Bombyx mori: one gene and its partners. The protein of the gene in region 3 purifies or fractionates together with the protein of the main gene of each other region. This does not show direct contact. Links are inferred from orthologs where the notes say so. Each region holds a gene or a part of one and is shown on either strand. Other genes may lie near its edges. The genes, in order: cullin-5, protein mahjong and COP9 signalosome complex subunit 3.

Region 1 (2,953 bases), on a different chromosome or scaffold from region 3:
TTTTAAACTTGAGTTGCCTTCATCAACTCTTGCCCGTGGTAGTAAAGGTACAGCTCCTGAAAGCAAGTGCCCTGAACTTCTCGCTAACTATTGTGATATGTTATTACGAAAAACACCGCTAAGTAAAAGATTAACTAGTGAACAGATAGAAATAAGATTAAGAGACGTTTTGTTAGTTTTGAAATATATTGAAAACAAAGATGTATTTATGAGGTATCATAAGGTTCATTTAACAAGAAGATTGATATTAGACTCAAGTGCGGACTCTGAAAAAGAAGAGGATATGGTAGAGTGGTTACGTGAAGTAGGTATGCCTGCAGACTATGTAAATAAATTAGCACGAATGTTTCAAGATGTAAAAGTAAGTGAGGATCTGAATACACAATTTAGGGCAGACACAACTCGTCATGATGCCATCAATATTAAAATACTCAATGCTGGAGCTTGGGCCCGTGGATCTGAAAGAGTAACAGTAAGTCTGCCACTAGAATTAGAAGACTATATTCCTGAAGTTGAAGAGTTTTATAAAAAAAAGCATTCAGGTAGAAAATTGCAGTGGTATCATCACATGAGCAATGGCACTATAACATTTGCTAATTCAGTAGGTCGTTTTGACTTGGATGTTACAACTTTTCAAATGGCAGTGCTATTTGCATGGAATCAAAGACCTATGGAAAAAATAAGTTATGAAAATTTGAGATTAGCAACAGAACTTCCAGACCCTGAACTGAGAAGGACTTTATGGTCTCTTGTGGCTTTCCCAAAATTAAAAAGGCAATTGTTGTGCTATGATCCATTGATTCAAAATCCTAAAGACTTTGTCCAGAATACAATATTTTGGGTAAATCAGGAATTTGCGCTTATTAAGAATGGAAAACCACAACGTAGGGGTAAAATAAATTTGATTGGAAGACTTCAGTTGAGTACAGAGAGATCTCAAATAGAAGATAATCATTCCATTGTGCAGCTAAGAATATTGAGGACTCAAGAGGCAATCATAAAAATACTAAAGATGAGGAAACGCATTACAAACACAGCACTTCAGGTATGGAACTTATATATTTTTGTTTCGATGTACAGTAAAAGCTCTATTTGCAGGCTATATTTTCCCTAAATATGCTGCGAATATGGAAAAGCGCGTTTACAAAGGATGTTCGGTTCGACCTCCTACCTTGGAATCTTTTATATCAATGTGTATGTACTGATTAGATTTCGAGATAGAGATTCGTGAATCAAGAAATCTTTAGGCGCGAACGTAGGCATTAGGTCGCATTTTTTTAATCAGCGAATAGTGAAAGCGCGAATAAAGAGCTTTTACTGTGTTAACTTTGAATATCTGTTCCAAACATGTGTACATGAATGCTTTCCACTAAAAACAAATATGTATATAAATACTTAAGGTAAGCTTTTTGTGTTAGGAGATTGCATCAGTAAGTACTGTATTCCTTACAGGTTACACTCATAATAGTGCAAAGTGGTCTTCTACCACATGGGGTAGTAGTGTTTTTATATTTCAGTAACCACACTTGATACCAAGTAGATACTGAGCTAGTTCATGCTGCACAAATGATGATTGATTATAATTTTGCCATGACTTAACAAAAGAAAAATTTGAACATACTTAGGTATAATAAATTGGTTTGGAAGAAAGCCTTTGCTTAAATAAATAAGTTTTGACAATGTTTTCGTAATTGCTTTCATGATTCTTAATTCTCCAATAAATGTTATATGGTATTTAAATAATTGAAAAGGTGTGTTGGGTTCACATATTCAAATATTACATCTTATTCTAAGCAGCAGAAATTCAGACGATAAGGGCTGACGAAGTGACGAAGATCACCAATTGAAGATTTTTCTTGTATTGTTCACTAATAAATACATTCTCCTTGTCTCCACCTTATACCACTAAGTGGGATCGACACTGCCAATGTTTGTATTCTCCTCTATCAGCCGTCATCTCAACACTCACTCCTCTCTCTCTCATATCGTCATTCACACTCCATCCATGTCTTCTTCGGTCGACCTTTTTTCCCCTGCAGGATACCACAATTTCCATACATCTCCTATTTACGTGCATCTCTACGCATCACAATATGACCATAACACGCTAACCGTCCGCTCTTTATAAATAAGTAACAAATTTTTATTATTTTTATTCCTTGCAGAGCGAGCTGGTAGAGATTCTAAAAAATATGTTTCTACCATCGAAGAAAATGATAAAAGAGCAATTAGAATGGCTTATTGAACATAAATATATGCGTCGCGACGACGAAGATATTAACACGTTTATATACATGGCCTAAAGTCAATAATGTAAATGAATAAAATCAATAAATTATTTACTCTATTTCTCTGTTTATATATCTATATCTGTAGTCTCTGTTAATAGTTCAAAATATCATGTGTTGTTTATTAGTAATTGTAAGGTAGGTAACATAAATGCATATTGATATTATGTTAATATTTTATTAAATACATAGAACATAGTTTACATTATTAAATGTAAAAAAAACATAAAATTAGTTGTTGGCTGGTTCTATAGTTGTACCTCCTTGAATTTGTCCCCAACCAATTAACCTGAAAATAAGTAATAATATGTTGACAAAACTTGTTTCAAAGCACATGTGGTATACCAGTTATGCATTGATACTAACCGCCAGTGATTTTCTACTCTTCTACTCAATGCTACTTTTTCTCCAATTTCCGTGCAAACAGGGTTCGTAAGGGCGATTTTAGCCAAATCAACTTTTGTGGCGATTACTCGGCCGCCAGTACTTAACGATCCAATATTTACGAGGAGGACCTAAAAAATATTTAATGTGCAACTTTAATTACAATAGATGTGTGATCAACCTAACGGCCCAAATAGTGCTAAGACATTACTGTAGTTTCTAAATAATGTACCACTGTTAATTACCTCATTTTTGACTAATTTTTGGACTTTGGCAGCCTT
Region 2 (3,664 bases), on a different chromosome or scaffold from region 3:
TCGTCCACTCATCTAAGCAATAAAAAAAAGATAAGTTGCGAGTAGCGTGTTGCAGCTGCCCTCGGTCCGCAGGTGCTGCTGGCGCTGATGACGGTGAAGTCGCCCATCACGGACGCGGACCGGCTGCGCGGGCTGGCGTGCCGCGCGCTGGCCGGGCTCGCGCGCTGCCCCACCGTGCGGCAGATCATATCCAAACTGCCGCTCATCACCACCTCGCAGATACAAGGTGAGCCGACCGACCGCAGCGCCCTCTGCTCGCTGACAGTAGGACTGACGTGTCCTTCCTATCAGAACTGGTTTGCGGCAGAGCTCATGAAACTTAGTCACTGACCGCCTAAAGGGCGTCACACATGGTAAAGATACTATAGTATTTTATCATACGATACCTGGATATTATTATATTATATTATTATTATATTATATTAAGATTTTTTTTCCTACCTAGCTGAGAGCCTTGAGAGGCTATATCAGCGTAGCCTTAACTAGTAGGTGAGCTCACGGGCTCAACCTGAAAGAGGATGAACAAACCACAGTTCAATAAATATAACGACAATAACTGCTTTCTTTGTACATAAATGATAGCCAATAACCACATTCGATGCGCAAAAATATATATATATCTCTAGGTCTATTAAAATCATTTCATTCGTACAGCTAGATTCGTTAAAATAGAATTTTTTTCAGGTATTTCAACTTTAAATTAGTCTACTGTAAAGTTCACACATTGTCGCTTAGTCACGTTTGCCTTTCAAGCGTCGATATATTATATATTTCAATAGATCGCCTTTAGTACCTAGGAGATTGGTGCCGACTCACCTGACTCAAGCCAAGATGTACTGACGCAGTTTCGCTGATGTACATAATTTTGCCATCCGGAGCCACTACGAATATAAAACCGTCCAAAGTTTGGAGCAAATGCGACCCGAGCTCTCGTATCGACAATTCGCGGGGCTGTGGTGGTGGTGGCGCCGCTCCCCACGCGTCCTCCAAGCCTGGTGACGAAAGCGGATTTCCTTTACTGCCGACGAGAATCCCGCAGGCGGGTACCAATTTTTCTAATGAAATACGTACTTAGCAAATGTTCACGATTAACTTCCACGGTGAAGGAATAACATCGTGTAATAAAAATCAAACCCGCAAAATTATAATTTGCGTAATCACTGGTGGTAGGACCTCTTGGGAGTCCGCACGGGTAGGCACCACCACCCCGCCTATTTTCGCCGTGAAGCAGTAATGCGTTTCGGTTCGAAGGGTGGGAGTAGCCGTTGTAACTATACTGAGACCTTAGAACTTGTATCTCAAGGTGAGTGACGCGTTTACGTTGTAGATGTCTATGGGCTCCGGTAACCACTTAACACCAGGTGGGCTGTGAGCTCATCCACCTATCTAAGCAATAAAAAAAATAAAAATATAATATTTTTTTGCGCATCGAATATGGTTATTGCCTATCGCTTATGTACAAAGCAGTTATTGTCGCTCAGTCACGTTTGCCTTTCGAGCGTCGATATGTATGTATAATAATCTAGAACGTTCTTGCCCAGTGCTGATGCGCGACCCGATACTCCAAGAGAAGCGCCAGGAGCACGTGATGTTCCAGAAGTACGCGCTGGAGCTGCTGGAGCGCGTCTCCGGGAAGAGCAAGCACATGGGAGCCGAGTTCGAAACCTCATTGGCGAATATACACAAGGTGACAGATTTTTGAATACGCTTTTATTAGCTTCAGACGTATGTATGTTAGCTTGTCGTAGTCAACATGATGTGTATTTTTTTAAGGGATTTTATGACCTGGTAACTAAGATCTTTAAGTCATGTCTTATTTTAATTTATATTGTTATCTTTATAAAAAAATGATAATATGGAGTGAAATGAAGATGATTAATTTGAGACATTAATCAACTGGGATGAAATTAAATGAAATGAGATGAGATGATATGGGATGAAATATAATCTCAGTAAAGTGGTGATCATTTACTGCGACTTTTTCAGTAGACTTTTTGGAGGCTCCCGAGAAGTTACGTCCAGCAGCTTTGTTTCATTTTCCCACATTTGTGCACTTTCACAGATATCAAACAGATAATAAACCACCATTATTACATATTTAAACCTGAAGAAACATTAAATTGACACAGTAAAACAAATCACACAACTTTAAACTTCGCGTTCCCGCCAAAAAGTCTCCATGACGTGTACTTTTTTTTAAGGGATTTTATGACCTGGTAACTGAGACCTTTAAATCATGTCTTATTTTTAAATTATATTCGTATTTTTATGAAAAATTATATTATGGAAGGAAATGAAATGAAGATGATTAATTTGAGACATTAATCAACTTGGATAAAATGAAGTGAAATTAAATGAGATGATATGGGATGATATAATCGCAGTAAAATGGTGGTCATTTACTGAGATTTTTTCAGTGGACTTTTTGGAGGATCTCGAGAAGTTGCGTCCAGCGGCTTTGTTTCATTTTTCCACATTTGTGCACTTTCACAGATATTAAACAGTTAATAGACCAACCTTTATTACACATTTAAACCCGAAGAAACACTAAATAGACAAAATAAAACAAATCACACAACTTCACTCCTCGCGTTCCCGCCAAAAAGTCCATGACGTGTACTTTTCAGCTTCGGCACAGATTATACACTACTCACGCAAAGGGATAAATTTTGAAGAGCCTCGTCTGATGTGTAAATTTAGTGAACGCAAACTTTTGATGTCCAGGCAAACGTGGTGGCCCAGACGCGAATAAACTACAACGAGCGTCAGCTGCTGCAACTGGTGCAGGAGCACCTAGCGGCCCGCGGACTGCACGAGAGCGCGGCCGTGCTGCAGCGCGAGGCGGGGCTGCCTCCCCCCGCCGCCGCCGCCCCGCCGCCTCCCCCGCCGCCAGTCTACACACCCTCAACGCCCATACGGGTATGTTCATTAAAAGATTCATTCATAATTTGTTGAAGTGAAACTTCTCACGACAGATTCGTTACGGCTAGAGAGAAAAGATACAATTTAGGAAGAGCGAGAGTGAGAGAATAGACAGAGCGTCTCGCGGACCACTCGACCGTGTGGAGAGAAGGAGAAAGCCAGCTAGGCCGTTTCTCTTATACACAACATTGCCTATTATAAGAGAAATTTGATTAAAATATGAAAAATGAAGATAAACACAAGATTTTAACACCGCAAAAGAAGTTTCACTTCTTTAACGTGGATTTAAATGAAATCGAATCGAATCTGTGGTTAGCACAGATGAAAGTAAAATCTATTTAAATATGCTCACTTACCGGGGTTACGGAGTATTGAGTATGACAAACAGATATAATCAAAAAAATATTTTTTACTGGTGGTAGGACGTCTTGTGAGTCCGCACGGGTAGGTACCACCGTTCTGCCTATTTCTGCCGTGAAGCAGTAATGCGTTTCGGTTTGAAGGACGTCGCTGCCGTTGCGCTTTAAAAACTGAGACATTAGAACTCATATCTCAAGGTGGCATTTACATTGTAGATGTCCATGGACTCCGATAATTATTGAGCATTAAAAAAATCTACCGCTATGTGCGTCCCTAAGCAGTCATGTCTGAACTCATGTCTGAAGGTTGGCTCCACTGGCAGTTGGCTTAGGGACCCCGGTAACTATACTTGTCGAAACTGACAAAGAAGTCGACGTGCAAC
Region 3 (3,764 bases):
TGTTTTGCTAAGTTAAGATGAGAAAGCGATAAGATACTATTTTTTAAGAAATAGACCAATGAAAAAATTAATTTTAATATTTAAATTGAATTAATTACACTAGCTGCTAGTGACTAGCATAATAACAGGTTATTCGTGAGTATTACTGACCTTGCACTCAGAGATAGAAAATATTTCTTATGATTGTCTATAATTAAATATTGTAATAAATGAGGGTTATTTTATTAACAAGTATTTATTTTATTTTATTGAGTTTGTGTTAAACTTTTTTCTCAGTTTTTAACTTGAAATATTAGACCACACAGCCACACAGCTTATACACAAAAGATGCTACTGATAAAGTATTATACATAAATTGATTGATAAAAATTCAGTATTTACAATCACACACTGAACTATGAAACACTCATGATTATACTACTAGGCTACTATTATACTACTAGGCTATGAGCAGGGTCAACTCTAGTTTTCAGAGATATCAAAGAAGGTAAAATATATAGAGGTTCAGCATTCTGACTAAAAAAGATTGACAAAATGAAAAGCAGACTTACATAAATCAGTTGCAAATCGAACTTGTTCACCATTGCAGTTATTGATAAAATCATGAAACTGTTGATACATAGTTGACCTATCAACTTCTGGATTGCCCTGTAAGGTACATAAGTTATATTGATTCAGAAAACAGAAATAAAAGTAGTTAATATGTGATGAACAGTTTATTTCATGCTGTAGAACATTATACAGTTCAAAACAAAGAGAAAACCTAAGTTAACATTATATTATTACGAGATATTTTTTTCAAATTAATATTGGACCTCATTAAGTTTGTCAGTATCAATAAATATACTACTACAGATTTTTTTCAAAATTCATGTTGGGTGACTTTGCAGCTTTTTAATACGATTTTATTAGCTTCAGTTGTATGTATGTTAGTATGTAACAGAATCTTTGAACATGATTTTGACCCCCTTACCATGCATGCACCATGCACCCCATGCTTTTTTACAATAAAATAATTTTTTCTTACACCATTTTTAAATCAAATTTATTTTCTATTTTTTAGTTGGATTTTCTACAAAAGCGTATTTTGTTAGTATTTTTAAACCATTATTTATTTAATTTGAGTTTAGGCATAAAATGCCTTGATAGATATAAAATATATATAATATATGTTATAATTATTGCTGTGAATATTTAGTGATACTAGAGGTCCCGCAGTAGTCGAAATTCAACTATGATTAATTGGAATTGTAAGTTTTTACACTATTATGATTGTATTTTATACTTCTATAATCACAAATTTCACCAAGACTACACTATAAAAAATATTAACAAAGACAAACAATATTTAATTTCAATTTGACAACAGACGTCAAGAACAAAAGTTTGACAATAAATAGTATGCATGCGTGTGTGCGTCAAATACAAGGTATGTAGTGTGTGTAATGTTTTCTTTATTGATTTAATGTATCTTTTATGCATTATTCAAAAAATATATTAACATCATGCACTTCTTCTGTATATTCTCTATAAGTGTGGAAAATTTCATACTCCTCCGTCCGCGCAATTTTCTTAAAAAGGGATACAAAGTTCTTGCTTCATGTATTAATATATAGATTTTGATACAGTTTAAGTTAGACTTAACATACATTTAGATTTCAATTACACTTTAAGGCCATTGTAATAATTTATGTAAAGTTAGAATGCATAATTAAAACACTTACCGGAGGCAAGGAAAATTTGGCCACCAGGACTGCTAAAACACCCAATGAATGCTGTTGGATATCAAGAGTTTCAAGTACTGTATTGAGGTGGAAGCTATTCCTCTGCAACACTTCATCTGATTTTGCAATAATCTCATATAAATCGCGAAAATTACCTGAAAGATAAGACATTGTACCATGAAGTTTGATTTAATGACGTTCTAATACATTCCAATAAATTTGTTTCCTAAAAAAGAATCAGGTTTATTATAATATTATTATTATGATTGCGATTGTGTCAGGTGCCTACTTTTTTTATTCCATGAATTATAATAGCACGGTACCTGATGCCGACATTGTCCTCACATTGTTGACAAATTGTTCTAAAGGAGAAGCCATTGTGATAGTAGTATCAGATAAATTATATATGTGCTTGAATTAATAAATGTTTAAATAAATTGTTTCTTTTTTCTACATTTAAAATAACCCAGACGAAAATAACATGAATTATTGATATTTTTTTGACATGAGAAATTGACAGCGGTAGTTGTTTATTTAAATACATCAATATATTAGGCAAAGAGGTACTAGACCATAATCTTGTAAAAAATAAAGACTACAGCTATAAGTGTTGTATAAAAAGTAAAACGGAACGAAATGAATTAAATTTGAGCTGAGATAAGACAAAACATTATGTATTTGTGCGATATGATAAAATAGGTATGTGTTAATCTCTTTCTTTTTTATTGTTATTTTCAGTAATTTAGTCTGTATCACACCCGTAATAAATGTTAGTTTAAAAACTACATGAAGAAATAAGAAACTATCCCGTAAAAGATGCGCTCGCTCTTTTGGCTAGATACATAAATCACTTAATTTTCTAAAAATTATGTAATAAAAATATATTCCGGCTCAAATAAAATTGAATCAAAATCAATTCAAAGAAAACAGTCATGAGAAGAGTTAATTTTATTACAAGAATGGTGCTATTTTACTAAGAAATTATTTTCTTGCCATCATTCATTATGATGCAGGAAAAACTATCGAAACTTGTGTTTGGTACTTCACACCTGGATACAGATTTTTGCTATATAAAACAAATTCGGCCTTACAAAGCAATTCCGGCCTTGCGTGGAGTACTGCTCTCACCTCTGGGCCGGGGCTCTCAAATACTATCAGATAATTTCCATTGGACTTCATACAGAAGAGAGACGTTCGGATTGTCCATATTCCCGTTCGCATGTATCGCTTGGAGCTCTCTGTCTACAGAGAGACTTCGATTGTCTCTGGGTTTTGTATCGTATGTCCCATAGGGTGTGCTCTGATGTATTGTTTCAGATGATCCCATAATATTAATTTTATAATCACATCACCCGTTATCGGAGAAGAGTTCTGCCATGTACCATCCGGCTTTTGAATGAACTTCCCTCTACGGTGTTTCCCGAACGCCATATATAATATATAAAATATATATACATATATATATATATAAATCTCCTTTACAGATGATCTATCTTTAAAGGAGACTTAAGAAAAGTACGCAACGGTAGGCAGCGGCTTGGCTGTGCCCCGGCATTGCTGATGTCCAGGAGCAACGGTAGCCACTTACCATCAGGCAGGCCATATGCTTGTCTACCTGCAAGGGCAATAAAAATAAATCTGTTGCATTATTTAATTCCATTTCACATTTTATTAAACTGACATGTTTTTGCCTTTTTTAGATTTGGTTTTATGGGTAATTTTTTCTTTGTCGGTTCAGTAAAAAAATCTAATGAAATAAGAATGTACTAATTCTATTTTATACAATGACATTATTCATTTTGAAATTTGACACTAAACAATAAAGTTCCCACAAAGTTCCTCAATAAACACTGAAGTATGAAACTAGGTTTCCTACTTCAGTGTATGAAACTCAATAATGGAAATGAAAGTGTCACTCGTGTATTATGATGTAATACTGTCATTATATATTAAGTGTATAATCTATGCTATCATTCATTGACAGTTCGGTTGAGACTTTTTGGCGGGAACGCGAGGAGTGATTGATTTGTTTTATTTTGT

The links.
Region 1: the proteins of COP9 signalosome complex subunit 3 (region 3) and cullin-5 purify together in Homo sapiens (affinity purification with mass spectrometry; 3 studies listed by BioGRID and IntAct, with this or other methods). This does not show direct contact. The link is inferred for Bombyx mori from reciprocal best matches to the Homo sapiens genes COPS3 and CUL5.
Region 2: the proteins of COP9 signalosome complex subunit 3 (region 3) and protein mahjong purify together in Homo sapiens (affinity purification with mass spectrometry; 5 studies listed by BioGRID, with this or other methods). This does not show direct contact. The link is inferred for Bombyx mori from reciprocal best matches to the Homo sapiens genes COPS3 and DCAF1.

What each region holds. Positions count from the first base shown.
Region 1 is NC_085129.1:7,724,751-7,727,703, forward strand, and holds the end of cullin-5, read left to right. Parts: coding exon 1-1,045; intron 1,046-2,165; coding exon 2,166-2,303; 3' UTR 2,304-2,347; downstream 2,348-2,953. UniProt on the Homo sapiens protein: Core component of multiple cullin-5-RING E3 ubiquitin-protein ligase complexes (ECS complexes, also named CRL5 complexes), which mediate the ubiquitination and subsequent proteasomal degradation of target proteins.
Region 2 is NC_085130.1:15,869,303-15,872,966, reverse strand, and holds part of protein mahjong, read left to right. Parts: intron 1-72; coding exon 73-226; intron 227-1,541; coding exon 1,542-1,687; intron 1,688-2,724; coding exon 2,725-2,919; intron 2,920-3,664. UniProt on the Homo sapiens protein: Acts both as a substrate recognition component of E3 ubiquitin-protein ligase complexes and as an atypical serine/threonine-protein kinase, playing key roles in various processes such as cell cycle, telomerase regulation and histone modification.
Region 3 is NC_085119.1:8,374,523-8,378,286, forward strand, and holds the start of COP9 signalosome complex subunit 3, read right to left. Parts: upstream 2,368-3,764; 5' UTR 2,103-2,367; coding exon 2,048-2,102; intron 1,880-2,047; coding exon 1,725-1,879; intron 649-1,724; coding exon 552-648; intron 1-551. UniProt on the Homo sapiens protein: Component of the COP9 signalosome complex (CSN), a complex involved in various cellular and developmental processes.